Drosophila melanogaster: one gene and its partners. The protein of the gene in region 1 interacts with the protein of each later gene in a pairwise test. Each region holds a gene or a part of one and is shown in the gene's direction. Other genes may lie near its edges. The genes, in order: Spt, Mad1, SamDC and Lk6.

The links.
Region 2: the proteins of Spt (region 1) and Mad1 interact in a two-hybrid assay, tested with the Drosophila melanogaster proteins (one large-scale study listed by BioGRID).
Region 3: the proteins of Spt (region 1) and SamDC interact in a two-hybrid assay, tested with the Drosophila melanogaster proteins (one large-scale study listed by BioGRID).
Region 4: the proteins of Spt (region 1) and Lk6 interact in a two-hybrid assay, tested with the Drosophila melanogaster proteins (one large-scale study listed by BioGRID).

The regions. Positions count from the first base shown.
Region 1 is NT_033778.4:8,919,206-8,925,036, reverse strand, and holds Spt (spitting image), read left to right. Parts: upstream 1-2,281; 5' UTR 2,282-2,387; coding exon 2,388-2,468; intron 2,469-2,530; coding exon 2,531-2,698; intron 2,699-2,757; coding exon 2,758-3,084; intron 3,085-3,140; coding exon 3,141-3,465; intron 3,466-3,529; coding exon 3,530-4,252; intron 4,253-4,315; coding exon 4,316-4,417; intron 4,418-4,480; coding exon 4,481-4,530; 3' UTR 4,531-4,767; downstream 4,768-5,831. Other genes in the region: CG8243 (uncharacterized protein), read right to left, coding at 334-1,769, 1,922-2,039; CG8248 (uncharacterized protein), read left to right, coding at 4,947-5,513, 5,571-5,687.
Region 2 is NT_033778.4:9,288,457-9,294,708, reverse strand, and holds Mad1 (mitotic arrest-deficient 1), read left to right. Parts: upstream 1-3,143; 5' UTR 3,144-3,251; coding exon 3,252-3,372; intron 3,373-3,428; coding exon 3,429-4,483; intron 4,484-4,536; coding exon 4,537-5,348; intron 5,349-5,409; coding exon 5,410-5,614; 3' UTR 5,615-5,752; downstream 5,753-6,252. Other genes in the region: Cog6 (component of oligomeric golgi complex 6), read right to left, coding at 5,797-6,252.
Region 3 is NT_033779.5:10,336,777-10,342,352, forward strand, and holds SamDC (S-adenosylmethionine decarboxylase), read left to right. Parts: upstream 1-2,680; 5' UTR 2,681-2,738; coding exon 2,739-2,842; intron 2,843-3,375; coding exon 3,376-3,462; intron 3,463-3,534; coding exon 3,535-3,703; intron 3,704-3,756; coding exon 3,757-4,035; intron 4,036-4,090; coding exon 4,091-4,183; intron 4,184-4,231; coding exon 4,232-4,387; intron 4,388-4,449; coding exon 4,450-4,605; 3' UTR 4,606-4,727; downstream 4,728-5,576. Other genes in the region: GATAd, read left to right, coding at 1-107, 169-296, 365-517, 592-820, 1,243-1,340, 1,456-1,632; CG31715 (uncharacterized protein), read left to right, coding at 4,906-4,989, 5,046-5,156, 5,374-5,457, 5,513-5,576.
Region 4 is NT_033777.3:11,761,070-11,767,133, reverse strand, and holds the start of Lk6 (Lk6 kinase), read left to right. Parts: upstream 1-2,676; 5' UTR 2,677-3,487; coding exon 3,488-3,650; intron 3,651-6,064.

The DNA.
Region 1 (5,831 bases):
AATTTTCAATTTTAAGTAGTTGGGTGTTACACGCGTATGTATGTACCTTTTATGATTTAATTGGAATAGATTTAGACGAGCAGACGCGATTCCTGGTGGACATGGAGATGGACATGGACATGAACATCGTTTAATACAGTGGCTTGCTCGACAATGAATTCTTCTACGAACACGAATAGGACAACTAACTAAATTGGCAAGTTGTTGTATAAATCGAATGTATATAAACAAGCATCGCCGTCTCACACACACATGTTGCAACACCGAGACGAACCGAACACTCGTGTCTTACAATTAATTAAAGGAATACAACTACATAAATACACCGCGTATTTATTGCCACACATTACCGATATTAAGATTCCCAAACTGCTGGTTCAGATTTGACGGTACTGAGGAGGTGGTGGGCCCCGTTGCGGCAAATCCGCCCGCTCCTTGTGGCGGTTGGCCAATGTTCAGCCCACTGGGCAGGGGCTGCATTAAGTTCATGGAGAGGCCGCCAAGCTGTGGGTGATGTTGCTGCTGAAGCTGCTGCTGATGTTGCTGCTGCTGTTGCGGAACAGCTCCAAAGAGCGGCATCCCACTGAGAATGCTCTGGTTCGTTTGCATAAGATTTGTTGCAGCTGCCTGGCCTGCGGCAGCATAGGGACTGCCCCCGGTGCTGGGAAACTGGGCTCCAGTAAAGCCATGGGAGCCGCCCATGCTCATCGCAGTGGCACTGCTGATGGCAGCATTGCTGAACGCATTCGGTGCAGCCATAACTGGCGAATTATACATGCTCACCGAGTTCGGCGGTGTCATAAACTGGTGGGGGATCTGCTGTTGCTGCTGCTGGTGCATATAGCCGCCTGGGGCCATGCCCGTGAAGCCGCCAAAGTTCATCTGGGGGTTGTGGGTGGCTGGCGCGCTGCCGTACAGCGCCAGAATGCTGTCCTTGGACATCTTGCCAGACTGATCCTTCTCGTTGCCGCCGGCGCCCAGTGAGCCCTGGTTGAAGAAGTCCTGCTCCTCTTGTGCCAGCGAGTTCGGCTTCGAGCCCATCAAATTGGCGGCGTCGCCGTTGCTGCCAATCGGCTTATCCGGCTGGCCGGCAATCGATTCGGCGCTGAGAAAGCTGGTGAAACTTTCGTTTTGCAGGTCTTGGCTGGCATTGGTCGCGACAATGGGCTTGGTGGGCGAGGACAGTCCCAAGAGGTCGCTTTCGCCGGCACTGCTAACGCCGCTGCTGTTCAGCTGGACGCGTTGCGTCGTCTTTGGGCTGCAGCCGCCGACCTGGTTGGGTTTCGGCTTTGGAAGCGGCGCGGGCAGGGGGGTGTTCTTGAGCGCCGACGCAGATGACCCGGACAGGCGCTTGTCGCCGCTGCCACCGGCCACTCCAGCCAGGCCCAAAGTGGCCTGGGCCTGCGTGCTCTTCTTCTTGCGCTTCTGGCGCTCAAGCTCCTCGTCGATCTCCTTGGCCCAGTCCACTTTCGGCGGCGAGGGAGGCACCCACTCGCGGGCCAGGTACTTCTTGTGCTCGTACTTGGCCCGGATGAAATTCTCCAGCGCTGTGTCCGTCTGCGGGCGACGGAAGCCGTCCGGCAGCTGCGCCTCGTAGACGGCGCGAGCCCGCGAGTTTCCCATCTGCTGCAGCGAGATCACCTGCTCTGGCGTCCAAGTGTCCAGGTTGACGGACTTGACGCGCGATATGTGCACGCCCAGATTGCGATGGATGCCGGCGCAGCGGATGCAGAGAAACATGCCCAGGTTCCAGGAGGCCCAGCGCGGACCTAAGGATAAAAGGTAGCATTCAGTGACAGCACATAGGCTCATATCGCAGTGCAGCTGCATGTGTGGTGTGTATATCCACGCACGCACGCACACAGATGTGCGTCACCAAGAGGCGTATCTCTTGGCGGAGAAGTGGACCCCATTAACATACCCTTGGCATCGCAGTCCACGCAGTACTTGTTGTCCTCGTCGCGGAGCATCTGCGTCAGGAGGGTCTGGCACTTCTCCTGAATTAGCTTCGTGCGCTGTCCCGCATTCGAGGAGCTCATTTTGGGGTATGCTTGCGGTCTGTGAGGCCTGGTTTCGATATTTGTGGCGGGGCGCAACTGTGCGACGTGGCGTGGGCGACGGGTAGAGTTGGCGGAGCTTATCTCTGCTTCACATGGATATACAACTACCAGCGAATTGAATTGACAATTTTCTACAAGTTTTTGCTACCGAAAAAGTGATGCGTCCAGTGGGACCGTGTGGCGGTGAAGGCAGCTAGCCTCCCTGGTTGTCACTAACGCCAAGCCGTGCCATCTTGCCATTCACAGGGAACCGAAGCCACTTTTTAAAAAAGTTGTTTACTTTTACTTCTGCCCACAGAACATTTGAACTCACATTTGCCGGCAAAAATGGAAATTTTGCGAACGAAACTAGAGGCCTGCCTGCTGATACTGAACAGGAACAATGCAGCAGCTGCAAACTGGCTGAATGTAAGTGGGGGAAACGGACCACTAGCCCCAGGACATCAATCACTTGTTGCTTTGAATTTCAGGACCTGTGCGCCGTGCTATTGGAATTCGCTACTTTGGCCCACAGCTCCTTCTGCTCCCAGGGGCAGTCGGAGTGCTCGGAGCTGGTGTGCCTCTGCCTCAGCCAGATTATGATCTGCATTCGCCAAGTGGAGAACACCATGAAACTAGAATGCGGCACCACAGTCTCGGTGAGTAATTTGGATCTCATCCATGCATTGCACAATGATGTCTAATCCTCTGAAAGCAGGTAAGTCATCAGTACTTCCTGGACCGCATTCGCTGGTGCCTGAAGCGCCTCATGCATCTTTACAGCGAAGAATCGAGTTCCGAAGCAGTAGCTCCGGAGCGCTCGTTCCTTAAGCTGGTGGATGGCGCATTGGATTGTTTGGCGCAGTTCACCTCGCACAGTGAGGAAAACACCGATACCTCCAACTGTCCAAAGACTCCCAAGGAAGTCCTTCCACTCAGCCAGAAGTTGCGCGCCAACATTGATTTGATCTTGGGTCAATCTCTGGGATTCGCCAATGTGGCTTTGTCTCAGGACAAGAGGGCTCTCAGTGCCTTGTGCCAAAAGGTGGGTGTACATCTTCTGCAGTATCCCCTTATTTATTCCCCTCATTTGTGCTCTAGGTCATCCGGGAGTGCAATGCCTTTCAGGAGGAGTGCAAGGAGTCATTCAGTGCCAACTACCTGTCCACCCTTAAGCTGCGGGCCATGACCATGGAACAGGCAATTTACCAATTGGAGGACTTTATCAACGATGCGCTTTTGCGCTTGGTATTCACATGCTTCCTGGACTTCGAGAAGTTTTCGGTAGACAAAATTAGAGCGCTGTTAAGGAACAGCCCAGATAATGATGATCTGGCCGATGAGTTCATAGCGGACTTTGATGTGAACATAGATCGCGCCACCCAGATAGGCATTTTTGCCATTTCCTTTGCGCCCAACTTGAAAAGTATAATAATTATATATAATTATAAAAAAAAACGCAATTAACTCCAGTACCAATTCCTTTTCAGTGAAAACCATAATGCGCAGCTGTCTGGCCTCCTTTGAATCACTGGACACCACTCTGATACCTTCACTGCAGGCCCATGGTTCCGATTTGCACTCGGACATCCTAGAGCAGCACTTTAACGAGGAGGTGGCCAAGTTCAAGGCAGCGCTTCAGGAGATCATCGACAGCCGCGCCCTCGTTGGTTGTTGCCTGGAGATACTGACCTCAGGGATAAGTGCAACGGAAAAGCTTTTCGATAAGCAGCGATTGGAGGACTTGGTTCAAATCTCTTTGCTGCTAGTCGAGCACTTTCAGCTGGAAGTCAACCGAAAGGGTCTAAGCGAAACGCAGGACCGATTGGGGGAAGAGTACTACCAGCAGTTCATCCGGGTACTGCGCGAGTGCAAGGCTATTTTGATGTGCGCATCCCAGGTGGAGCCGCAGAGAATCCTCAAGCGCTTCAAGATCTTGCGCACGATCTTGCGCAAATTGCACGGCTCCCTGGGAGCTGGTAAACAAGAGGAGGAACTTCCTATTCCCCTGGCTCCCCTTTTAGCTGATGATACCAAGGGGGTAAATGAAGACGAAACCCATTTCACTGGCTATAAAACAGCCCGAAGCGGCAGTATCCTCTACGACACAGAGCGTAGGAATAGAGTAACTAGACGAACGGACAACAAGCTACCCACAAATACCTTGGACATTAAATCGGATAAGGCAAAACCCCATGGAAATGTTCTGAGAAGTAAGTCGGCTGATGTTTAGATAAATTTGGTAAGGTTACCAATGTTTTGAATGCTATTTTCAGGAGAAAGTTTACGGACTGTCATGTTCAAGCGGCAGAATATAGCTGAAAGCAGAAAGCTATACACCTCCATGAGTAATCAGTCTACGGATCTACAAATCACAGGTACCTAAAATGATTACATTTCCTATTTTATAAGTTTTTCCATTAAATTTCGTATATTTTTAGATATACTCGACCAACTCACTGGAATGTCCAATGGATACTTTGAATGCTGAAGCATTTCAACCATTTGTACATAACTTTTTATTTAGTTTAGTGTTTAAGTTCATACCATTTAAGAGATTTTGCAATTCAAACTTAACGTACGTCGCCACCTGAATGTCATAGGTCAGGTCAGGCATACACACAAACATGTATGTTCCTCGGGTGGCGAAGAGTATCGCATCGGAAACAGTTTAGACTGTTGTAAAAGTAGAGCAATAGGTTCCAATAAATATATAGACACATAGCACACTTGTCAGCGCATCTCCCTCGGTCGATTGACCTTTCAATTGCACTGGACACCCTCGTTCAACCCAACATGTGAAGCTGTGTGGGCAATCCCTATCGATTTTCCACCACGAGCGGCAGCCAGGACTCGCAGTCAACAGATACACACGGTAATTGCTTGGTAAACAGTAAGCACTCGGCTATGAAATCTCTGGCCGGCGATAAATTTGCTCTGTCCGAAGAGATTGGGCCACCGCCTTGTTCTCCCAAACACCGAAAAGCAAGTGCCGTGAGTAGGGACACGGATACAAATAACCATCATGTGGTGCCGCTGGGGATCCTCGTGGTGCTCTGCACTGTGTATCTCATGGTAGCCGGGATGCAGCGCAACTACAGGCACTATTTTAAGCCGGGCGTGGCTGCCTTCGACCTGCACCATGCCCAGCCGGAAGCCATGGCCGACGCCGAATTGGATGTCGCCGCTCCAGATGCATCGTGCCAGAGGTTGGACGTTTTCGGAAAGGAATCCAATCGGAATCAGGCAGTTTCAAGAAGATCCCAAGGCAGGCCCACGAAGAGAACCAAAAACGGCACTGGAAATGGGGTCAGCAAGCAACCTCGTCGTTTGATAAAGTCCCCGGAGGGGCACAAGAAGAAGGAAGTTGGCAAGAAGAGTAACACAGCGGAGCCCATTATTTACCTGTTCGCCCTTGTGTTTGTCTATCTGCTTCTGAAGGCCGCCTCGGACATCAACCAGCACTACAAGTCGGTAAGGATAACCCGCATTCCATTCCCTATTGCCACGTGAATAATCCTTCTTCGGCAGCAGAACAAAGGGGACAAGCGACTGCGCCGGTGCTCGCTGCAATCTTATGCCCAGATCCACAAGCAGGATCGCCGGTCATCAAAAGGTATTTCACCAAAATCTTTGCCAAAGTTTTAGCTCGCTGGGGGCCAGGTGCCTAGCCTATTACACCGTGTTAACGAGGGATCAAGTGAATTGTTATCCTATAAATCTAAATGTATCTACCACTATGTACTGAACTAGCCAATCTTCTCTACTCTAAAGCACCAGTTTTCTGACTTT
Region 2 (6,252 bases), 370 kb from region 1:
GTGCGTTTTTGCAGCGCGTTAACAGCGCTTGAAATGAGCACGAGGCATAAGCGCGAGAGAAGTGCAGTGAGAACGAGGTGAAATGCAGCACAAAGCTTTGCGAGAGCGAGTAGGACAGGTGGAGGAGTGGGGGTAGAAATCCCGTTACTACTATCTAGTCAATTTAATGCCTTCAGTTTTTAGGTCCCCAATTAAACCGTATTTGTTTTATCCACCCCACTATTTCCCATTTACTACCTTTTTTTCCATAATTTTCGATGTTTTAACAGGTAAAGATATTTCGTCGTGCTTTGGCCTACATTTGCATCAATGTGATATAATCAGGACGCCAAAGCGCGCGCACCTTCTCCCTCGAAACGCTTTACCAGCATTTCATAAGATCCCATCAGTTTGATTTTGTAAACATTTACTTCCAATCAACGGCGTTCAATTAATAGTGTTGCTATTGGATTGTGTGCCCCAGGAAAATATTTAGCTTTCTTTTAGACCTGATCTTGCTCGACATTTAAACTCTAGCATTAAACATTGAAGTCTTTTAATAAAAAGGGTGAGACAGAGAGAGAGTGATGCACTTTTATATGAAGCTCTCTACCTCTCGCAAAAGCATTGCCAGCTGTAAATGTGAATGGATAACAGAGCACTAAAACTCCTGTAATTGCTGCTGGCCGAGATTTTTAATTGCAGTAAGAAGAAGGAGAGATAAAGTTGTTTTGTTTATCCTAAATAATGCCAGATCAACTGCCAACTGAAAGCCATCTCGGCTGCATTTTTATCAGCTCTTAAAGGAATTCCAGCGCTTTGGGAATTCGCAACTAATTTATTTTTGGAGACATCCTCTCAAAGCAACAATTTTGGAAAGGCCAGAGAGCGAAATTCCTTTCAAAGGGGGCGCGAGAAGAGGAAGAAGAACAACAGTTGCAGCCACACGTGGGATGGAGGCGGCGGGAAAGGAGGGCGTTGGGGGAGTGGCACATCTGTGAGGCGTAAGTATTACCTCAGTTATTTGGGTCAAAGCTATTCACTCACCCGCAAAGCAAAACGAAACGAAGGAACTGCATAAAACATGCACAAACACACACACATATGCAGAGCAGGAGCTTGAGGGACACGCACACAAAGAGACTAATGCGGGCCACAGGCTTAATAGGTTTCTCTAGCGGATGCGGACGCGAGTGCGGAGCATCCGCAGCGATACGCCTTGCTAGATACACTCGCCAAAGGTTGTCATATGAAAAATTCACATAGATGGAGCAGAGTGCCTGTAGTTTAGGCCAGGCATGAATCGTATCCATTGCACCCATACTCAAGCAGCAAAATAAAAATTTGCCTAATCTTCTCTAGAAGTTGATTTATTCATGCATCCTGTTGTGTTGCTCTATAAAGAACCTATCTTTCGTTCAGCTGACCACGTAAAGAACAAAATATCTACAAAGACCAAGTCAAAGAAATATTAAAATATATTATAAATTTTACTTTGTTCAAATTGCATGTTATTAAAAAAAATCTATTACCTAGTATTATTTTTGATTATTTTGTTTCTACTGCTTAATTAAAAAATTCATTCCTACAGAGAATAATTATTTGTTACACGCAGCATTTTTATTATTAAGTTGTAGTGTTGGGTTAAACTTCTTTGGAAAAATATGACATAGGGTTAACTGTTTTAATGTTGGGAGAGGCTAACACCGTTGGTTGCAGATGTGAATGATGGGGGATGGTGATGAAGTGAGAACAGCTGATTTTGGCAAAGTAACTTGCGGTACCGTGGTGATCGGGAAAACTAAAACGGTTAAGCCGTAGTTGCCGGCTTTGCTTTGCTTTTAGCACGTTTGCACTTACCTCTCTGGCCATTACGACATGTTATCACCAGCGGCACCCGCTTAGAGGGTCTGCCATTTGCTCAGCGGCAATAACAACAAAAACAACACGGGAGCGCCTCTTAGAGCGAGGGAGTGGGAGAGGCAACAACAAAGCACACGCTTTTCGCGATACGAGAACTCTCGTGCGTCTACTTAAGTATGTGTGTGTGTAGGCGGCAAGCGGTATAGACGGAGAGACAGAGAGAAAGAGTGTGGGAGGAGTGTGTGCGTGTGAGTGTCTCAAAAATTCTCTACTACACGTTTATTTTCAATCTTCTCTTCCCGCACATTTCTCCAACGCGCCGATGCTGTTTCGTTCTTCCTCTTGCTTTTCTATCCTGTCCTTTGGCTTCCTTTCCTTCTTCCTCTCCACACCAATCACTGCGTGGGTATGTGTGTATAGGTGTGTATTGGAATTCGCAAAGGTATTTGATTAGGAAAGCTGGGATTTGTTTAAACAATTAGCATGCATCACTTTTTGCAAATTTGTTACAGTAACTTGGGTCAACCCACGCCCACTTTTATAGGTGCGGCTGTTGGGCAGGATTTGCTTTTTGGCAGTGGTGGTGGTGTACGTGTGCGGGATGCTTCTGTGTGCGTGCGAGAGAGCACATTGGAGTACCGTTATCGCTGGAGCCACATTTTCTTATTTGACATACACTTTTTTGTTGCACACGCACACGCGTTTCGTTGTTTTTTTTTTGTTACTTTAGTAAAATTTATTTTCTATACTCTCTTTCTTGAAAGCTTTCTTTTAACCGTTTTTTGTCCTTATCTCTTGGTATGTACGACACACACGCTTCACATACGTTCTAGTTTTTGGCAGTTGTTCAATTGTTCGAATTAATTCCGATTTCGGAATTTGTTGTTTTAACGATTTATGAGTTTTTTCGGTGCGGAAACAATAACATTTAATTCATTTTAAGCCGAGAAGAAATGCAAATCAATTTTTATTTTCGGCAACACTCGAAGAACTATCGTTATCGATTGCGATTTCTTTTACCTGTAGTATTTCGTGTAACATACTTTTGGGTGGTGCAGAAAAGAGTCACGCTCGAATATACTAAACTGGGCTGCCAACTTAGCTTTTGATTTGTTTTCTTGATTTTATATTAACACACCAAATAAAGAAATTGCTTAAGACAACTGTCCCTTTTAAGATATTATTTCCCAGATTAATATACGTATATTTGATTATTGGTGACAATTTTGGATACAAAAGCCAAAGTTATCGGCCACTTTAATACTAATAAAATATGACCAATATTTGGCATTTCTTGTCTAAATATTTGCAGCCACTCTAAGATTAATATTTTACCAACTTCTTTTAGCAATAAAAAGTAAATATCTTTACTGAAAACGTCAACTAAGGTCTCCCACATACAACTTAAAATGGACGACATACGTAGCAGCATAGATGATATGATGGACCGCTTTAACGACAGCATTACCCATTCGGCACCCAAGAAACTACTTTTCAACCGGCTTTCCGCCTCCTTCGATTTAGGAGTTTGTAAGTTGTAATTTACAGGCGCGAACGTAGAAACTAACAAGTAACTCCTCTACTAGCACCCAATAAGCGACGTCGGGAACGGGAATCACCGGAACGCAGTCTTAACGACACCGCCTCTTCCCTCAATATGCCCGCCAACGATTCCATGGCTTCTTTGCAGAACAGCAAACTACGGACCGAGCTGATCGAAACCAAGGCCATAGTAATTCAGCTGCGTAACGAAATCGAAAAGAAGAGCCGGGAACACAAAGAGGCCATATTGCTGGCTGAGAACAAGAGCACGGCCTTAAAGGATCAGTGCGACATCACCAGCAAGAAGAATTTGGAGCTGCAGGACGATCTTAAGGCGCTTCGTAAGCGAGAGCTGGTCTTGAAGAATGAGGCCAGTCGGGCCACCGCCGAGTTGAACCAACTTAGGCTTAAGTTCGATGAATCCACGCTCAAGTTGCAGAAGGAGAAGTACCTGCAGAAGGAGGATGCCCGCGATGTGCACCTGTGCATCAACAACGAACTGAGCGAATATCGCCGCATAGCCCAGCGGGCCGATCTCGAACTGCAGTCTACGCGCAACGAACTGGAGCGCCTACGTCAACTCAATGAGGAGTTACAGGCCAGGGCTTCCGGATTCGAGCAGCTGCGCGCCAATCACGAGAAGCAAACGCAAAGCTTGAAGGTGGCCAACGATCGCATTCAGGAGCTGGAGTTCGAAATTCAGTCGTATAGCGACTGGAAGGAGGTGGTCAAAACCTCACGAGAGCGCCTGGCCAGTGTTCCAGATTTGCTAGCTGAGGTGGAGCATCTGCGCAGCCACAACAAGCATTTAAACACTCTGATAGGCGATAAATTGCTTCTGGAGGAGCAGGTCTACGACTACAAAACGCGACTGGAGCGGGAGGAAGGTGCTCGGGCGGAAGCAGCTTCCCTGCAGGTGAAACTGCTTCACATGGAGCAAGAACTCAAGGAATGGGTCAAGGTGGCCCAGGATCACTGCTTGGCCAACACTTTGGTCAGCCCAATGGCCCTACGCTCGCGCATTGAGCAACTGCTAAAAGAAGACATCATTCACGTGGCAGAGAAGACATCATCGGCTTCGGATACCAAGCATTTGAATGTAGGTTTTGTCCAATGTGTTCCAAGTCCAATTTATCTGACTCCATTTTATAGACCACAATTCGAGATCTAGAGCATAAGTGCGCCATTTACTTGAAGAACATCGAGGATCTCAATATCGGACTGAAACGCCACAAGAACTTCAAGGAGCGACTGCAGCGCAAACTGATCACCGTGTCTAAGGAGCGCGACTTCTACAAACAACTGGTGGAAAACTTCGACAAGGACACGACCCTGAGCAATGCCAGTGTGGCGGACATGACGCAGGACATGCAGGTGCGGGTCCGAATGGAGGTGCTTGAACGCACCGTAACCGGATACAAGGACATGTGTGCCACGTTGGAACGCGAGATTCAATCCTTGCGCCAGCAGGAGCTTGTGAACGAACCTGCCGGAGAGGGATACGATAGCGTCAAAAAGGAACTGGATACGCTGCGGATGGAAAACGATCGGCTGCGTCGGCGCAAGGAGGAACTGGAGATGGAGATGATGCACCGCTGCTTGCGGGGCGACTTCAACATGAAGGACTTCAAGGTGGTACACTTTAGTGAAAATCCCGCTGCCGAAGCCTATGAGTCCACCAAAAACATGATGGAGAAGCTGCAGGCGGAGATTGAGCGACTCAAGCGGCGCAACAAGAAGTTGGAGGACGATAACGAGCAAAGGCTCAATGAAACCACCAGCACGGGCGGCATGACACTGAACTTTAAGGAGTTCAATCAACTTCAAGCCGAATTAGAGTCCGCCAATGGCAAGATGCGGAAGATGAGGGATTGCTTCAAGGCGGCCCGAGAGGAGTTCCGCGATGTGTGCTACATGCTGCTAGGCTATAGGATCGATCGAATCGGTGCCAACAGCAACTATCGGTGGGTAGCGATTCCATAGATCCTCCATCTTAGTTGCTAACATTTAATATTTCTCTTGCAGCATATCGAGCATGTTTGCAGAGGGACCGGATGACTATCTGGACATCAGCCTCAACGAATCGAACTGTTTGGCGCTACTGGAGTCGCCATATTCGCACACATTCAATCCACCTATTGATCAGCAGCTGGCAGCCAGCAACTTTCCCGCATTCTTTTCCGCCCTCACCCTAGAACTATTCCAAAAGGCCACTGTCACGATGACTTAGGTCATCATTACTTTAGTCTGTCTTAGCTTAAGCTAGCCGAGTATGAAGGCATTGAAACTTATTCTTGTCCGCATCAGATATACGATTGGTTTTTTATTTTACCACGCTAACAATAAACTTCCCCACATATAAATACATATAAATTATAGTAATGCACAATAGAAATTGGAATACCCAATCCACTAAGTGGAGGTCAGGATGTGAGCCACCTGCTCCGGCGTTCTGTGCAGCAGCTGCTCCGGCTGCTCGAAGCCGTTGGCCGGATCGTGGACGCGTTCGTAGATCTGCTTGTAGATGGCCACGATCACGTTGAAGGATCGCTTCTGAACGGCGGCCCGGTGACTGCTGGACATTATGAGCTGCACCTGCGGCAGGAGCAATACATCGGGTAGTTCCAGAAAGGCGTCCATCTTGGACATGAAGATCTTCAGCAGGTTTGTTTCTATTTTAGATTGATTGCTCTGCAGAATGGCGTAGATGGGACCCAGATTGAGGTTCGCCACCAGCGATGATGCCTGCTCGGAGGTCAGTGTGTCCAACTGGGCATCCGACTGCGCCTGCAGCCGCTCCACGCGCTCATCCATATATTCGTAGACAGCCAGCGAGCTTTGCATGTGATGCAGACAGTTCAAAAGGTA
Region 3 (5,576 bases), on another chromosome or scaffold:
CATCACGTCCTCCATAAATGATAGAAAGACTCCGGATAGCTTAAGCTCGGATCACGCCACAGATGCGGCAACTACTCAACTCTGGCAGGCACTGGCCAGATCAGCCGGTACGTATTATTATCCGACCACTGACCGCATATTATTATGAAAAACATTTCAATTTGATAGCTAAAAGCAAGGAGGACAATCCGGCATCACAAATATTTCGAAATATGATGAGCCAGCCTTTCGCGTTTCCGGTTCCGTCGACAGTATCATTTACAAAAGTACCTGAAGAACCCATAGCACTATTAAAGGTAAACTATTTCTTCTATTTCAAGTAGCAAGTAGCTATAGGAAAGTCTAATACTCTTTGTGTTCTTAGGATCTATCAGAGGCTCAATCCAGCAAATCAAAACCATGTAGAAGAAAACAAAGTTTTCCTACCAAAACTGATTGCATCGATGTAGTTAATGAGAATGTGACTGATACTTATACCACTTCAGAAGCAACTCCGGATGATAAGAAAGATAAAAGGGTACGTTATCACAGTCATCCTCATTGAATCACATACTAATTATATTATTTCTTGGTTCAATTCCGATTTCGTAGAACATAAACCTTTTTAATGCCATACCTGGTGCTCAAAAAGATATGTCATGTTCGAATTGTGGCACCCTCACCACAACAATTTGGCGGCGAAGTGTTCGAGGAGAGATGGTGTGCAACGCCTGCGGATTGTACTTCAAGCTGCATGGGGTCAACAGGCCGCATTCAATGAGACGCGATACCATACACACCAGACGCAGGCGTCCTAAAGAATTGGAGCGATCTAAAAAGAGTGAGTGAGAGTTCGAAATTTATCTACATTTTTCGATTCGAAAGCTAGCCCTCTGTGACCCATAGATTTATTTATTTTTTGAGTATCTAACAATGAAAACAATTTGTTTACTTAATGTTTTTTTTTTATGTTCCCTGACCATTTTATTGTTGGTAATTAAATGTAACTTGCCAAAACAATTTATTTTTCTGTTAATATGTTCATTAAGCTATTGATTTAGCAATCGGAATATTAACCGCGTACCCACCCAAAATATTTTCTTGCTTGTCCAATCATATTTTATGATGTCATTGTTGTAGATGGCATTGGACGTGCCTGTTAAGTCGTTAAACTGCTCAAGTTTGAATAAATATCTACGAGCCTTTCATTATTAATTGTATGATTTATTTGCGAAAATTATAAATATACACTTTCTTTTGCAGAACACAAACAAATGTCATCATGTTCTTCAATAGAAACAACGAAGCAAGATTTCTTGACGGCTAGGGAATCTCTAGCCATTTCGGGCCTTGTTTTAAATGTATGTATCTGCACTATTACTTTAAAGTCTTGATAAGTAGATTGATCAACTAGATCTATTTGCATAAGATTTAAATACACTTAAACTTCAATTTTCTAATATGTTTTTATTTTAGAAATTCAAAAAGGAAATTGATGATACCGAGACCCCAGCCGCAGCAGCACTTAAAGATATTTTATCAAGGCGTAAGAAGTCAAATTCTTTGCCGGCGTTTAATGATACCTGTGAAAGTGCGGATCTATCCGCACCGCTTAACCTTGTTTCCAGTGAAAATAATGCAAAGTTAACATAAAACGCCAAATATATTCCCCCTACTCACTTTTCGAAAAAAAAAGAAGAACCTTTAACCCACATTTTGTTTATTTATGAGGTCGCGTAAGAGAGAAAAACAAATGGTATAGGATTAAAAATACGTATAGATTATTAATAAAATTTTCATTCTTTAAAACTAAATTTTATTCATTTGTATCTTTAAAAACTAATACCAAAATACTTATTAGTGTAAAAGAGGTATGAAAATTGAACCAGTATGTCAAAACTTTTAAATAATATCACACTAAATATAGACCTTAAGAGAGGACATCAATACTTAATGCAATTAAATTAAAAATAAAATTTATTATATTTATATTTATTAAAACCATTTTACAGTATTTTTAATTTTTTAATAACACAAATCGCTTCTATTAAAATGAAAAGTTCAGTTTTAACAATGATTTTTCAGCTGTCTTTGCAATTGAACAACTTCTAAAGCTAAAAAATAATAATGTTTTAAATCTCTTGCCTATACGAAAATCATGTGATAATATAATAATCTCCACAAAACATTTTAATAGTAAAACTATGCAAAAAGCAATAATCACGCAATGCAAACTTTTCAAGGAAATATTTAAATTATATACAATTATAAGAAACTAAAAAACTTAATGCTGTTTTCGAATCTACATAAATTGTCTAAATAAAATAAGGACTTCATAATAGGCTAAGATACAAAAAATATTACTCATTTATTTTTTCAAATAAAATACTCTATACAATTTTTAACAATCACAATAAAACTGGTTAATGTAAAATGAAAATCCAAATTCTACTGTTTTTTTTTAACTATTTGCCTGGGGTATGGGATAAGCAACCGAAAAATCTGTTAAACTAATGATGAGAATTTGAAAAAATATATATTAAAGATATTTAAGTATCTTAATTCGAATAGAAAGGGACTTACATTTTTACCGCCGACTGTTCAATGAGAAATGCTGTAAGTGGAAACATGCTGTTAGACTCCCGAATTATCGATGTAGTACAACAAGCACTCGCATCGATAGTCCCATCGTTTACTTTACATCACCAGGCGTTGTTTTGGTATCAGATCAGATCCATTTGTTATTGCCAGCCAGCAGCATGTTGGAGAACGGTTCGCACTTCTTCGAGGGCGTTGAGAAACTCCTTGAGATTTGGTTTGAGGAGAGCTCCAACGGTGACGATGATCTGCGTAACATCAGCAGGTGAGTCCCTCAACAAGTGCGGAACCCAAACAGCCGACATGTCCTTTGTGCACAAGTGCATGCACAGTTGCGGGCAAAAGTATACGTACATATGCGCCGTTCATTTTCGTCCTGAAAAGAAATGAAATGTATTTCTACACTGATAATTATCTTTTAAACATAACATAGTCCCATTGGAATAGGTTACACATTGGTTTTTAGGCTTATCAGATGCGGCACACGTGTACCTACCCAAATTAAATTGAAGTTTTTATTTATGATTCTCAAGATATACAAATTTGATTTGAAATTTCAAGAAATTAGTTATTAAAGGGAATTTCTTTTTAAACTGGCAGCCTGTAGAACTTTGTAAATTCACTTAGAATTAAGCTTTCAAAAATCGGTCTTAACCCTTGGCCTTGTTTGATAACGAGTTTTAATCAATCCCATTAATCCAATCCTCATTATCTCAAAATAAATTTTGGTCGAGGCATTGTGTACATGTTTATTCAAATAGCCTTGAACTTTTAATGAATGTAAATGATATTTTTCAGATCTGATTGGGAAAACGTGCTTAGCAATGTCAACTGTCAAATAATAAGCACATCCAAAAACGACATTATTGATGCTTTTGTGTTAAGGTATGCGAATATATAAAACTAAACTTAATAAAATATTATTAATTATTTTAAATTTGTATTCGGTGCGAGCAGTGAGAGCAGTATGTTTGTTTCAAAGCGACGATGGATCCTTAAAACTTGTGGAACGACTACTCCATTGAAATGCCTGGGTCAGTTGCTTAAGCTGGCTGAGGCCAATGGATACAATGTGGTCGCAGACTTGTTCTACTCGCGAAAAAATTTCACTAGACCGGAGGCGCAGGTGGGCAAAAAAATTAATTGCATTTCAAATGATTTTATATCATATATATTCAGATAACTCCCCATCAAGGCTTTACGGAGGAAGTTACGTATCTGGACTCAATTTTTCCCAACGGAAGATCCTATTGTCTGGGCTCCATGAACCTGGAGTGTTGGTACCTCTACACTTTTAGTCGTTCTGATATCAAAATTACGCCCCAACTTATATCGGATGAGAAAAACGTTGACTCCGATCCAGATCAAACTATTGAAATATTAATGCAAGATCTAGATCCCGAAACCATGTCAATCTTCTATAAAAACAAGTTTAATGATGCTAATGGCGCTACTGTGGTATGAGGATATATTTTAAATGATTAAAACCAATACATATAGATTGTGATTTCAGAAATCTGGTATCGATACCATATTGCCGACTATGCACATTGATGACTTTTTGTTCGATCCTTGCGGCTACTCCATGAATGGAATCAACGATAAGGTAACATAGAAAAATTTTACAAGAACTATTGACATAAATTCTTTATAGGGGGAGTACATGACAATTCATATTACTCCGGAGAATCAATTTTCGTATGTGAGCTTCGAAACAAATGTGGCTCTAAGTAACTATCGTAAACTTATCAATCAAGTAATCAATACTTTCAAGCCGGGAAAGTTTATTGTAACCATCTTTGCCAATAAGGTAAGCTGTTGCTCCACTTTTTGTATAATTATTTAAAATAATTTTCGAATATTGTGGATCAGTGCTCGTTGGCCTACGAAACTATGAAGGAACTGGAAGTGGAGTACTCACAGGGATCGCACTGGAAACGAACCGACATGCAATGTTGCAACTTTCCATCTTACAATCTTCTGTTTGCACAATATTCCCACAGTGAGAAAACTGGTGATAATTTATAAAATTCCAAAGCCAACAGCAATTGTGATTGTTTTGCGTATGTCTAACAAAATTTATTTTTCGTTCGTTATTAATTATTCAAAATAAATGTCGAATAAATAAAATAATAAATACTACTACTACTAAATAACGTACAATTACTTTTTAAATAGACTGTTAATATAAAATACTAAAATATACCAACACCCTGGATAATTCGCAAATTCCAAATGTAGCAAATAATTATCGGATCTGAACAAGTGTCACAGGCAAAGTTCCATCCCTAGCAGTATTTGACAAGTCGGCCCAAAAGAAAAATAAAAATGAGTGCGATTTCTAATGAAGACATTATTTGGACCATAAAGAACGGAGAGTTCGATGCTGTGCAAGACGCTTTTCAGAATGATGTGCGCTGCTAATACTCTAAATAATTTTGGAATTAATTAATTCTATTTGTATACAGGCACAAAAGGTGAATGAGGAAATCAAGGGCCGTTTTCCAGTACACTATGCAGCAGATTTTGGACAACTGAATGTCCTGGAGTTTCTTATAAGCTTAGGAGCAGACATAAATGTAAGTAGCTCACAATGCCAAATTACTCGGCCATGAATCATTAATGTTTCGTCAGTTACTGGTTTCATATATTAGTGTACATATATACACGTCTGCACCACCTTCATTTGTTTAGTCATAGTCTCAAGCTAAACAAATGAACCAGGTGTGCACCTAAGACATGCCGGTCTTCGTATAATAATAGAACTTAATTGTAATTAACTAATATTTATTGAAGAGAAAGGACAAACATGGTATTACCCCCATTCTGGCTGCCATTTGGGAAGGACATACGAGCTGTGTGGAATTACTTCTAAAAATGGTTTGTGCTTCCTTGTTTCTACATATACGCCAAATAAACATGTTTTCGATTGCAGGGAGCTGATAAAAATGGTTCTACTCCAGATGGCCAAAGCTACCTCGAGGCGGCGGAAAAAGACG
Region 4 (6,064 bases), on another chromosome or scaffold:
TTTTCAAATCGTAATTTCTGAAGAGTTTGAGCCAGAGCGACATTTGTATGCATTTTTCACGTTCAAAAACTATTTTTCCGGCACACTTCTTACGAAAAATGTACTTAATCAGAAAGATAACCTTCTTGGTTGGTGCCAAAAACTTGTGTATTTATTTGATCCGGTGCCAGCCAGTTTGGATCAACAGTAGTATACAGTGCGGAACGTAAATGAAACACTTGCAGTGAAGTACAAATATTTTAACTACACACCCACAAGAGAAGAAGCACTCACGACACAGCAGCAGATTGCATATAGACAAGTAAACCGAGGATGTGTATTAGCCAAAAAGTTAATGGAAAAATAAGCGAAACTAAGCAAATCTCAATACAGTTACTACGCCAGAGGGTAGCATATTATTAATGCGTTTTGTTGGCCCGTAAGGCAGAACAATTTGGTAAACAATAACGTAACAACATATAAATAATTAAGCAACCTTCACAGCAAACAAGGAGTTTTTATTTTGCCATTGATTTTCTCGGTCTCACTCACTCTCTCTCTCTCTCTCTATCTATTTTTCTTGACACACTAAATCGAATAAGAAAATATAAAACAATAAGTTTATAAAGAAAAAGTTGCAATAAATGACAAACAAATGAAATTAAATCACTCAGGGATAAAGCCTCCAAAAGAAAAACATAAAATAAAAATGCAATATTTTAAACGAAGTGAAAAAAGAAAAGAAAAATGAAACAAAACAAAAGAAAAGAAAAGAAAAGAAAAATTTAATCTAATGAGGAAGTACATTTTAAAGTTACAAATATTTTAGAATAATACGAGAAGAACAAACTAAAAATGTTTTAGAAATTTGCACAAATTTTGGCATTTTATAAACGCAAAACGAACCATCATCAACCAACTAAAATGCATAACGAACGAACAAACAAATGACGAAATAGATACATATTTTCTCACACTTCATTGGCTTATCGAAGGTATAAAATCGACAATTACAGGATAGATCTAGATCGCAACACAGCCGAACCGACGACGATCGACTTCACAGGCTGCTGGCAAACGGTCCGTGCAACTTTTAGTGCATTTAAATAAATTATAAACACAAAAACAAAAGCAAACACAAAAATGATCGAAGGAGCGTAAGCGAAACATAAGCAGTTCATATTTACAGGAGCTAAATAAGTAATGCGGGGGGTTTGCGGCCAAAGAGAAGTTAAATTGTAGTTAGAGGTGGATGGATTAATACCCTAGGATGGCATTTAGGGCAAGGATCAGACGAAAAGGGCGCGTAGCATTACACCTTTTACATTAAACGACGATACGATGCCGCGCATCCAATTTGAAACTGTACGTATTGAATTTATGTTTAGTGTCTGCAGCATGCGGGGGATGTGAAGGAAGGAAGGAGGGAAGAAAAAGGATCGACGGGCGAAGAGCTAAATACATTTAAGGGTTAGATTTTCTGCGAAAGGACTGAAGTTAAGGCAACGTAGCGTTTAAATGCAAAATTGAATTGAATTGAATTGATGACGAAACCGAGTGTTATGGATAATGGAGCGTGCGCGAATGCGATTGGTGACGAAAATTACTTGTTTTAAGGCTGGACTTATGTAATTTCGAGCAAAAACGATAGTAGCGAAACAAAAACATGTAAAATGCAGATATAATATTTTTATAATTAAAACAAAGGTACCCCCACCCCACTACCCTTATCTTAATATGTTTAATTCAACTGCAATTATCGTTAAAGACGTATTTACTGTTTGTGATCCAAATTCATTGATTAAACGTAAACTACACAAAGATACAATTGTTGCATGGGCAAGGTTTGAAGTCCGGGTTCGCAAAGTACCCACAAGTACTCGATCCCCGGGTCTCAAAGACGAGGAAATCACGAGTCAATAAGCCAGGTTTAAAACTTGCAGGTGCGTCGTCAATGGCTCGCAATATTTTCCGGTCGGGCCAAATCCGAAAATGGCCTGCCCGAAAATTATACACACCTTACAGGACCGAGTGTTAAGAGTACTTTTGGACTCTCTGCGAACCCATAGAAATAGAGCAGGAACAGTAAATTGTACTTAATTGAAAAATGATATAATAAAACACCGCCACTTTGAAATATATTTACTTGAATCAAATAATATTAATGAGTATATATAACTTTGTACTTGAATAATATTTTATTTATATTTACCTTAAGTCAATAAAAATTCTAATAAATTATAATCACCCAAAAATGCATTTTGTTCAAATGTCGAGGGGAGTTCTTTTCAACTGCTGATTGGAAAATTGATGCCTTTTATTATTGATATTTGCGAATACTGATTGACAAGCTGCGAACCTTGAGTAAACGTATTCTTCCCAAAAATAAAATATAAAATAAATAAAGAAGGCTAATAAGTTTCATAGTGGGGTGTAAATTAAACAATTCAAAAGAACCGCCCAACTGTGGTTTATAAGCTTGGCGCACTACGCCAAGTAAAATACATGTAGAAAACGTGACGGCGTTGCCACTCTTATTGTATTTAGCTAGTTTAACCACCAAATAAACAGCGAAGTTCTCAACCATATGTGAGTTGCGTAGCCATACTACATTTGAAGCAAAAAACCCTAGTGTCGCTGCCGTCTTGTGGTATTTTCGTTGGCCCGAAAAACGGTCCTACCAAAATGGTACCTCCGGCCACACGGATGAATTCGTCGTCATTCGTCGGAATCATTCGAACTTTGAAAATGGATCGGTAGCTGGGAAGGAAACTTAAAGCGAAATACGCAAAGAAAACGGCTTTTGTCCGCTATTCAGCGATTTTTTTTGTGTTGTAATCAGCAGAGGAAATTTTAACGACCAACTCCACCGCCACACCAGCCATCTCCAGCAGCTCCGGAAAATAAAATAGAACTAAATTAACGCCTCCATCACTACAACAACCATCTCACCAACAACTACAAGAGCAACAACCACAGCAACAGCACTACTGCACCAAGCCCACAAAGAAGAGGTGAAACGCAAAAATCGCAATACCCGAAGAAAAAAACAAAAAATATCGCAGATAACCGAAAAAAGCGGTGCAAATAGATAAACCCCATTTTTTGCTTGAGCTTTTTTCGCCTGTGTGATGAGAGAAATCAGCAGCAGCCATCGATTACAACAACAACAGCAGCCACACCAACGACGACTCAACCACCAAACCAAGAATAAATAAACAGCGGAGAGCGATAGATAGAGAGAGAGAGAGAGAGGAGCATCTGCAGCAGAATTGAATCAGTTTTTTCATCAACCGCCGCATTGTATTAAAAACACAAAAATCCCATAGGCGGCCACCATTTTGATTTTGAATGAACTGAACGAGAAGAGAGGAAAGAGCACGAGAGACTGAGAAAAACTGCTGCTCATTTGTTGCACCGTAAACCCTTTTTCCAGCTTGTAAGCACTCTGCCTGTCTCACTCTAATCGCGTCCAGGAGCACCGTACAGTAACAACAACAGCAACAACATGGTGGAGCCCAAGTCCGGGACAGCTGCTTCTGCCGCTGCTGCGAAAGCAAGCAACAACAATAACAACAACCACCCCCGTGGATCTGGGGACAGCGGCATCCGGAGTGGCAGCGGCATTTCCTGCAGCAACACGGACAACAGCTGCAGCCAGAGTCAGTCAGGTGAGCAATTTGAGTTTCTAGAACTCTGGGAGTTTGACACTAAATTCCCATAGCTGAGAAGCAAACTGTGATGCATGAGATATATTTTGGAAACCTTCTGAAGAGATTTCGCATATTTGCGCTTCGTGTGTCACCAGTTTAATTTTAACTAGACAACATGTTAACAGAATGATGAAATAATTGCAAATATTTGCTCTGACTGTGAATTTGGCAGCTCTTTCGTATAAATTTGAACTTCTACCTATTGGAAATTCACCTGTATCTCTGTCGTAATATTGTTGTATTGCCTAAATATAAAGTATATTTCGTAGGCAACAGTTATTTGCATGCCAAAAGAAAACAAAAGCCTTATTTAAGCATATAATTATTATTTTGAGAATGTGACAAACGTTCTTTGCTTCTTAAAGTTGTACCTATAAAATACGATTTGTAGGATATTTCTGCTAAAATGCAATGGTAAAAAAAAGATATACGTTAATGTAATATTTTGTATCGGAAGTTATACTTCCTCTAAAGTTCCTAACCATATGTATGTATTATTCTGCTTGTCATTGGGTGGGGACTGACTACCAATCAGAGAAAAGACCCGACCATTGCTCCTACGCTTTCATTCAGTGGATTTCTAGTCAGTTATCGGCAAAGCTGGGCCAGGCAGCACTTTCGTTTCGTTTACCCTTGCTAATCAATCGAACGAACTAGGGAGCATTGACTGACTGGGCCACGTTGCGCACCGGGTGCCGCAGTGTATTTCCTTGACGTCACACGATGTTCGAGAACATGCATGCTGTCTGCCTGCCGGCGCCCAACCCCACCACCCACTCCGCTTCCCTTCACCCACCCCGCACAGTCTGTGTGGTGTTTACAGTTGTTTTGTTTCGCCAAGAGAACCCCATTGCATCATTCGACTGGGGCCATTAAGCTGAATATAAGTGTGTATGTGCCCTAATTTTAGGGGTATTCCAGCATCTGGACTTTATAACCATCACTGGGGGTGTTATTATTGTACACAAGTTCTTAATTATATGTGGGATTTGATATATGCTATAAAATAACAATGACAAAGATCAACTAAATCCACTAATTAGTCATATTCTAACTGGAGGTTAAACTAGAAGTTTGTTGTTTTCGTTTAGATAGTGATTATAGTCCATACTTTGTGTTTATCAAAGATAATCTTATGAAACAGGACAGATTGTTGTGTAAATATGCTAGATACGGTTGGGTTGGACCACTGACATCCACTAATTCCACTAATATCCTATAAAATCGGGCATAAGTGAGCTGCTTTGAAAAATCATGAAATCCATATGGGTAAACTGCTGTACAATAGGAATATATTCACACATACATATGTAGATTTCAGCACCAATAGTTACCCTTTGTAATTAGACCAGTTGACTGGTATAAATTCGCATAATATGATTATCAATTTAAGCAATACTAGATTCCAAGCACAAAAGGGTATTCCTTTTCCCTGCCATTCCACCAACACCACCAAAGCTGCCGGCGAAGTGAGAGAGACGGCACTAGTATCTGTGCCAGCTAGCCGAGACCGAGAAATTGAAATTGAGCGTGTGCAGGCAGTTATGGAAATGGAAAATGACTCATGATGGCTGATCGATTGAGCGTAATGCACTGACACTCGTGTTCAAATGCGTATTCGTGCCCAAAATGCAGCGAACGCGGCGAAATGTGAACAAACTACGATTATAACCTTCATGACGTTTATTGCACTTGGTGTGACGTTCGTTGCTTGGCCTCCCACACATATAAAATGTGTGCGCCCATTAGGAGTTGTGCTGGAGTGGATTTTGCAGCTGCAATCAACTGAGTGCAAAACGCTGTCAATTGGAGCCCACCAGCTGGAAACTTGTTTTCCCCCCAACGATCCATAATAATTTTCCATAATTATCGAGAAGTTTTTCATTCTATCGAGGCCTATCGATAGGAGGACATCTAGTGGTGCCTACGTGCAGCCTCCTCCGATTCATGAAATCAGCCCAATATATCTCTGTCTCCCTTGCTCGTTTGCGCAAAAGCCCTGAGAGAGAAATTTATTTTTTAGCTGTGGCAATGCCGCAGTGGAAAAAACGTCAGCTGAGGCATATGTGTTGTTTACTGTGCAAAACGAAAACAAAGCAAGTTAAATGTAGTTTTTGTTTTGCTGTTTGCCCTTTCCACTTGTTTGCTTTTAAACAGAACTCGCGCACATCACACCACCTTCATTGGTATGCATTGGCATTGGTGTTGGAGTCTGTCTCTCTCCCTCGCACCTCTGCTCCACGTCTTTCACGACATTTTCTCGGGCATCGCGCTCTCACACTCCAAAACGTACAAAAACAATGAAACAGGGCTCTCTCTGCACTGAAAGAAAAATAACTTGTTTACTTCAAATTAGCTAAATATGAAAACAT